Linked DNA regions of Nothobranchius furzeri. The protein of the gene in region 1 interacts with the protein of each later gene in a pairwise test. Links are inferred from orthologs where the notes say so. Each region holds a gene or a part of one and is shown on either strand. Other genes may lie near its edges. The genes, in order: plekhb2 and cdab.

The links.
Region 2: the proteins of plekhb2 (region 1) and cdab interact in binary tests that used the Homo sapiens proteins (3 or more experiments, as listed by UniProt). The two-hybrid records come from large-scale screens. The link is inferred for Nothobranchius furzeri from reciprocal best matches to the Homo sapiens genes PLEKHB2 and CDA.

The regions. Positions count from the first base shown.
Region 1 is NC_091748.1:41,161,632-41,165,555, forward strand, and holds the start of plekhb2 (pleckstrin homology domain-containing family B member 2), read right to left. Parts: upstream 2,766-3,924; 5' UTR 2,626-2,765; intron 2,093-2,625; 5' UTR 2,084-2,092; coding exon 2,047-2,083; intron 1,948-2,046; coding exon 1,795-1,947; intron 1,689-1,794; coding exon 1,586-1,688; intron 1,462-1,585; coding exon 1,422-1,461; intron 1,173-1,421; coding exon 1,092-1,172; intron 874-1,091; coding exon 759-873; intron 1-758. Other genes in the region: ing5a (inhibitor of growth protein 5a), read left to right, coding at 3,342-3,378. UniProt on the Homo sapiens protein: Involved in retrograde transport of recycling endosomes.
Region 2 is NC_091743.1:52,751,036-52,754,959, forward strand, and holds cdab (cytidine deaminase b), read right to left. Parts: upstream 2,625-3,924; 5' UTR 2,421-2,624; coding exon 2,192-2,420; intron 1,697-2,191; coding exon 1,585-1,696; intron 765-1,584; coding exon 707-764; intron 564-706; coding exon 438-563; 3' UTR 180-437; downstream 1-179. UniProt on the Homo sapiens protein: This enzyme scavenges exogenous and endogenous cytidine and 2'-deoxycytidine for UMP synthesis.

The DNA.
Region 1 (3,924 bases):
TAGTTCCTGAGCACAGCCACAACTGCAGCTCACCACTCCCCACGGGGATGGGTCAGAGGAAGAGGTAACATCACCAGTCTCTGATGATGATTAATAAAGTAGATATTTAAGTAAAAGGAAAAAAAGGTTTTAGACTTTTATCTCAGGAAAAAAGTGAGAATACTGATTTTAACCTCTGAATCCTGACTTCTCTTCGAATTATCACATTATTCCCAGAATTGGAAGAAAAAAAGATTTCAGTGGCCCTAATCCTAGATATTAATCAAAAATGATAAATGTTCTTGTTTTTCAAAAGGTCCTGCAACAAATACGACTCTAAACAAGTTTTATTCTGGTGAACTGAGGGGAAAAATAGCCATTTGTAAAAGTTGCTGACCCCTGTTTCAGTCACATGGGGCGACGGTGGCACAGGAGTTAAGAGCTCGCCCCGCAATCAGAAGGTTGCAGGTTCGAGCCCCGCTCAGTCTGTCGCTGTCGTTGTGTCCTTGGGCAAGACACTTAACCCACGTTGCCTGCTGGTGGTGGTCGGAGGGACCGGTGGCGCCAGTGCTCGGCAGCCTCGCCTCTGTCAGTGCGTCCCAGGGCAGCTGTGGCTACATTGTAGCTCATCCCCACCAGCGTGTGAATGTGTGTGTGAATGGGTGAATGACTGATTGTGTTGTAAAGCGCCTTGGGGGGTTCCAGGACTCTAGAAGGCGCTATATCAAATACAGGCCATTTTTACCATTTACATGCTTACAACATGTGCCGTTACTCACCTTGGTACTGGTACGGATATGCAACAGCATAGGCTTGGCCATCTGCAGAGTAAACCATCTGTGTAGGACGAGGAGGTGGAGCACTGTAGTCTCCATATGGGCCTGGAGCATAAACCTGGGAAAAAGAAAGAAATATATCGTTACACATTCACGAATACTTGTTAGAAATGCATTTGGGTACTCCATTAACTACACCAGCAGGTGGCAGCAAACTCCGTCTTTCAACTAATAGGTTTCCTGTTTTTTTTTTAAATAATTCTCTTTTCAAAATGATGAATTATGACATAATAGATATTTGTTGTATTTTCCCATCATATTTACAAACAGTTGTACCTGTGGGTGAGTATATTCGGAGTAGGGGGGAGGAGCAGATGCAATCACTTCTGCAAAACCAATCTGAGGAGTAGCAACCACCTACATGATCAACAAATTAAATGAGACTTCTACAAGCGACCAATAACAAAAAAAAAAGAGTTCAATTGCTTCTGAACAAATGAAAGCAGAGAATGATCGGCTCCCTGATGGAGACATTACAAAACACGTCTTCAGCTTAAAGCTTAATGTTTTAAACTTGTAGTAACTCAAATGCTTTTTAAAGTTTTAGCTCAGGAATTTAACCAAACAAAACAAATACAGAACCCCACAGATGCAGCAAAACCTCACCGTATTAATCCTGGCATCCTGCAGTGCCATGGTCCATGCACTGCAACAAAAAATGTTTGAGAATATAAATTATGTTTTTCTCAGAATGTAAACATATTTCATTTCTGTGCATCCACTTTTATCAGCAAAGAAGTTAAAATAAATAAATAAATAAATGTGCTTACAGGGCATCATCTGCACTGTCTGCACACAGGCTGATGACACGTCCATCTCTGCACACTATCTGGAACAATGCATCACGTATCTTTCCCTCTGGTGGGTTCAGTTCTGGGAGGAAGGACAAAAGTTGAGAAGGATTTTTTTTAAACAAAAAAAGTGTATAACATTCTGCAAGTGTGATTTTTACGCAAAAATGTGTGGAAAGAAAACAAACCCTGGCATGCTCCAGAGTTGCGGATGTTGATGCAGTGGACTCTCATGTGAATGTCATCCTCCATGTCGCGCCGTTGTTGATCATTGTAGAAGACGAGCCGGCCATCAGCCCACAAATCAAACCAGTTTCTTTTCCACCGGCGTAATATGGTACCTAAAAGTTAAATATAACACTTGTTTGACAAGATTTCTTGATGTAGACCTTTTTTTTCCACTGAGGGACAGTTGAATACACAGAAACACAATTACTCACTTTGTCTATGAAGCCAGCCACTCTTTACCATAGCCATCTGCAACCCCTAAACAACGTGAGTCAGTTAGAGCTGGAGATGATGACTGGGTGTGGTGCATCTAAAACAAACCTCATGACTGCTAACATAACTGACCAGTCTCCTTCAGAAGAAAACAGCCTCACGTGGAGGGCAAATTAAAGTCTTTTAGAAAGTGATCACTATTAGCAGACTTAGCTCAAATGAGTTTGATCTGCTAGCACAAGAAGTTACCGTGTGACTTTAATAGAGTTCCTGTTCAGTGTTTAAAGTTCAGATGTTGTGCCATTATGTTTATTTATAGTACTGCATTTAATACAAATCATTTAATTCTAATTTACATAAACTGTATGGGTCTCAATGGCAGGTGATGAAATGGGATGAAATAAGTACACATTGTTTAAATGAAATAAACAAATAGCATTTTTTGCTAGCTAGTTTCCAGATGTTAGGTGATAGCTAGTGAACTAGCATGGCTACTTATGAGTTTAAAATGTTCACAAAGTGAGAAAACAGTACAATTCTGTCAGACAACAAGCTTATTTTGTGGTTTACATACTTACTTTTATTCCACTGTTTGTCCCAAACGGTCTTTTTCGTGATAATTAAAACGCGGAAGTGATATGCAAAAGGTCGATGCCTTACTTCGAGATGAAAAGGCCTGACCGTTAGCAAAGTGACTACAGCGTTTAGACCGGAGGGCCGTTATGTTTCAGTCAATGTTAACTCCGCCCCACCGAGCATCTTCACAAGTGGCCCGTCTCTGGAGAGGGAGGTGTGTTGTTTTGAATGACGTAACCGCTCAGCTGACAGCTGTGGAAAGTGCTAGCAAAAAAGCAGCAAGGGTGCGCTTGGTTACAGCTCACACTCACTGTGCACACACACGTGAAATATTTGCCCTTCTCTTGGCAATGCAAATATGTGTGGTTTTATTTGTTTATTGACGGTGAAAGTGTTTTTTTAAACATCAAATAATTCACCTTTAAATAAAATCGAATTTAGAAAATGGTGAGAGGTGGGGGACAAATATTGGCACAAGAACTGAGTTTTAGAATTGTTAAGAGTGTAGAAAGATATAAGTGACCAAATACGAAATTAGGCTGTTTGCCTGGGAACAAAAATGTTTAATTTTGGTCTGGGGAAATAGAAAGGCGGGAGCCAACATTTTAGCCATCGCCCGGCGGCAAACTCAGGATAGTAAAACAAACGCAACAGCGCCCCGTGAAGCCGTGACCACAGAAGCAGCAGAGTAACGCAGCAGCTAAATACATAGCCAGAAATGGCGACGGCAATTTACTTGGAGCATTATTTGGACAGTAAGTATCTGATAATGCACCGAGATCGATAATAACTTGTCAAAAATGTTTTTGTGCTTTACGTTGATTTTTATCGAATAGTTTGCTCAAAAGTAGAGACAAGTAGTTGTTACATTAGCAAACTTTAGCTTTCCAGCTAACTCGCTGTCGCAGCGAGATAAGTAGATGGGTAAAGATGAAATAAACTGTCATTGATAAACACGGTAATAAACCTCCCGTGTTTCACTTATTACTAAAATATCAACTTATTTTTTTATTTACAACAGTAATACTTTATTGATAAAGAGCATATTGTTTATCTTTGACTTATTTGAAATCACTTTCTGTCAGTTTGTATGTTTGCAGCAACCTCTTCGATGTATGCGCATCGCTTTGAAAACCGCGTTTCCCGTAACTGTTTAGACTCCAGCCGAGGCGGGGTGTTTGACGTGCTTTTCAGCTTGTGTTACTATAAATCCTCACACATCTGCAGCTGATGTTGTTACACACTATTATTCTGCCACTGAAAGTTATTTTGCTATTGCGCAAAGTAATAATAATGTTGCA
Region 2 (3,924 bases), on another chromosome or scaffold:
GTAGACTTAAAATAACTCATGAATTAATTTTGTCACTTTGCACTGGCAGCTTACATGGCTCTTCTTTTTGTCTCTTCAAATAGAAACATTTGCAGTACACTGATACAAAATATGTTCTTCTTTTGTTTGTCCTTTGAACTGAAACTGTGTTCATTTCTCAATAAGGAATGAAGCGTGACTCCATTTAAAAACTATTTATTAAAATGTGTGACCATTCGTTTCTGTCATGCTTCTTTAAACCAATAAATATTTTTACCAACATAAGTTGTGCATTTAATGCTACTGAGGAAGTAGACATGAAATCATTGCATCAATAATATTTTTCCCTCTCGCAGTTGATTTAAATATAATTTAGAGACGGCATGAGAACAAACTTCTCACCATAAATATAACTGCTGCTAAACACATATGAAGCATGCTGTATCACTACAGCATGTTCAGCTAAACACTTTGTTCATGGATAGATCCTCAGGGCCAAACGAGAGGGGCAGCAGCTCGTCCACCGTCCGCTTTTGATACGATCCATCAGGCTTGGACAGGTAAACGTCCCAATTGGACCCAAACTGTAGGTCAAAAAAACAAAAACTTCACATTTCACAAAAAGGAACCAGCTTTGGCTAGTGCTTTACTCCTGCTAGTGCTGATTAGTATGCGTGCTGCTTTAGTGACTCATTTAAACTCTGCAAATGGAACAAGGAGCTCAGACCTCTCTCATGAACTGTCTGCAGCCCCCACATGGAGAGATGAACTGGTCGCATAAGTCACTGCAAAAAACAGAAAGTTGGAAAACGTAGCAGAAAGCAAATGGGGTTTGGAGGAATTTACAAGAAAAATGAAACTCAATTGTTTGGCTTTTATGAATAATTTGGTAATTTTTTACAGTACTTTGTGCAATATCAAGCATTAATAAATAAGGGTATTAAAAACTGCTTAACCATATTAATGTAATGCATTGCTTAGCAGACCCTCTGCCCACTCAGCCATTTGTCCTAACCTTTACAACGGTAGTGACACTAGGTAGTTGTGCATGCTTTTAGCACCCCCTAGTGTCCGTTTTTAATTTACTGTAGTTAAACCGAAAATGAAACTTATCTCCTCGTGCATTCATCTTTTAAACACCTTAATCTTACTGCTGTAGCGTCTCCTCCGTCTTCATTATCTTCTAGAGGAGCGGTTTATCACTAAATCAAACAAATCAGCTGTGTTCACCATCAGTAACATGCAGGGAACGTGCTGGAAGCAGACCGCTCCACCATGTCTGCTCCACTCCACTCAACCCCCCTCCCCCCAGCAGGGACAGACCAGCAACTCTGAAGTTGCAAGTGTGATATTCTGGCCAGAGGGGGCGGTGGGGTCTGAGTGACATTCCATTAACCCTGTAAATAGTTATTTAAGCACGAACTGGCTCAAGGCAATTATTTAAAAATATGAAAAATGTGCATAGTATCCCTTTAATAAAGGGATTATTTGTTTATTAGTGCTTCATAATGCAGTAACGTTAATAGAGGGACCCTTACTGTAAACTGTTACGTTATTCTTGAGGTGAAAATAAATGCAACATGAAGCAATACAATGTACATTTACCTGGCGATTGCAATGGCCTTGAAACTCCTGTATCCTTCTGACACGGCCTTCGAGATGGCGTTCCTTTCAGCACACAGTCCCAAAGTGTAGCACGCGTTCTCTACATTGCACCCTAGAGAGACACACAAAGACATGGGGTGACTTAACTTATGAGGGGCATTTACCTTCTGGAACAGTGTTTACTTCTGCTGGCCTGTTCAAATAGTCAGAGGGGTCTTTGGACTTGCAGCAGTTTTCCAGTCATCGCCCCGTACCTCCCCCACGTGACAGGACAGGTGACTTGTCCAGTGATGCTGACAGGAGCACCGTGTCTCCGACTTCTGTTTGTGCACATGCCGACTGTACTTACTGGGTGTGGAGAACGTTGGCCTTTTACTCCAGAGCTTTTCTCAAGTTTAGACATTTGACCTGATGGGTAATCATTAACATGATCCAGCAGTATGAAGATCAGAGCAAACGGATGCACTATTGTGTTGTTTTAATATTGAATTCTGTTATGTCTCCTAGAAGGCTTTGACTCAGACACATTATTTAAATTTTTTTATACTAAATATAATAGAAAAGCATGGGCTTAAAGAGGAAATTACCAACATTTTGCATAGCTCACCTGTAAACACACAGTTGTCGAGGGTCATGACAGCAGCTCCCACCCGGAATTTGCTGTAAGGGCAGTAAGATTGCGTCTTTACCTCCTGCGACTGATGAATCAGTTTTTTAACCATTTCTTGGCTCAGGTCCCTGGAGCGACTGACAACAGTGATGTCCCGTCGGGAGTTGACTCCATCCATAGTGGCTCTTGGCGTTTTGTAGACCTGATTTTGACTGAATGAGCTCATTGTGGCTCAGCTTTAAATGTGAATGGGACCGAGGGGTGAAAGGGGTGAGGACACAGTCAGCCAATCATTCACCAGGGAGTAAACTTACCATAATTACCCTAACCCTGTCCAAAGGAAGAGGACAGATTTTTATATGGATTTTAAAAGAAAGGTGTGATGTACTTGACAGCGGTAAACAGTGTTGCATTGGTGCTGGGGGGTACAGCTACTCACCTCTAAACCAGATACTTTTTATCTTGTCTTTATTTTATTTATTCCTGCATTAACTTTATTGTAGCCCAGATGAAGAGCGAACCCACACGATACGTACATATCAAAGCAAAGGGTTCTGCAGTGGCGTCAATGCTTTTGTTGTTGAGTTTTTAAGGCAGTTTGCCGTAGAAAAACAACACTTCTTGAATCTATGGAAAACATTGAAAACCTCTTAAAGCCAGTTACTTATAGCTGGAAACATTGTTCAAGCATTGGTCCGGATCTCAGGATATTGGAGTGTTACCAAATTATTTGTTTTTTTCTTAAGTTATAATAATTTTATGGTCGATGCAAAACATGTTCAACAAGTTTCATCCATCCATCCATTTTCTTCCGCTTATCCAGAGTCGGGTCATGGGGGCAACGGCCTAAGCAGAGAGGCCCGGACTTCCCTCTCCCCAGCCACTTGGGCCAGGTCTTCTGGGGGAGCGCTACCAAACCGCGTCCCCAGACCAGCTGATAAATGACACAACAGCAGAAATTAGTTTTGAGCTAGACTGAAGCCTTCAGTCAAAAATCTCAGCAGGTATGACAAAACATTCTTAAAAGCACAACTTTTGTCTTATTAAAATAAAATAAATGTTTTTTTGTTTATAACAAAGTCATAATTAACTTATTTAATATACTGAATTATGATCGTGATATCTTCCACTAAAGAACCTAAAAGGTTTTATTTTCATCAAATTTGTAACAAATGTGTCAAAATTTAGAGGGCAAGAGATACACTTGTCCAGGTGGGGACTGGGACATGTCCCTATGCTCCCAATGGCTAGTCCGTCAATGCACTTGGCCATTACTGAATGTAAAGATAAGTTCAAACACTAAAGTGTCAATCAATCAATCAATGAAAACAGTGGCAAACAATTTTGTTCAATGATTATTAATATTTTAACTTTTCAGCGAGAGCTTAAAGTGGCAGTGTGTAGTTTTCTGGCACTGGGGGGCAGTACAGACACACATTTCAGGGTAGTTTTATACCATATCGCCATGACTGTTGCTAGTTTAAATAAACTAACAAAACTCCTGTAAGTCGTACGTCCAGCCAATCATCTAGTGTGATGTCATCGACAGGCGCAGGACCCCGAGCCAGCCAGAAGGAAACATGGTGTCTATGGCGTCCTCCAAAGACTGCAATTTAGACCAGATTTTTATAGTTATATGTTACAAAGCCTCCAATGTTTTTCAACATCTGGACGTCATTTTATTCTTTTTGAACAACATTTCGATGGATATTTCCAGAGATTAATGATAA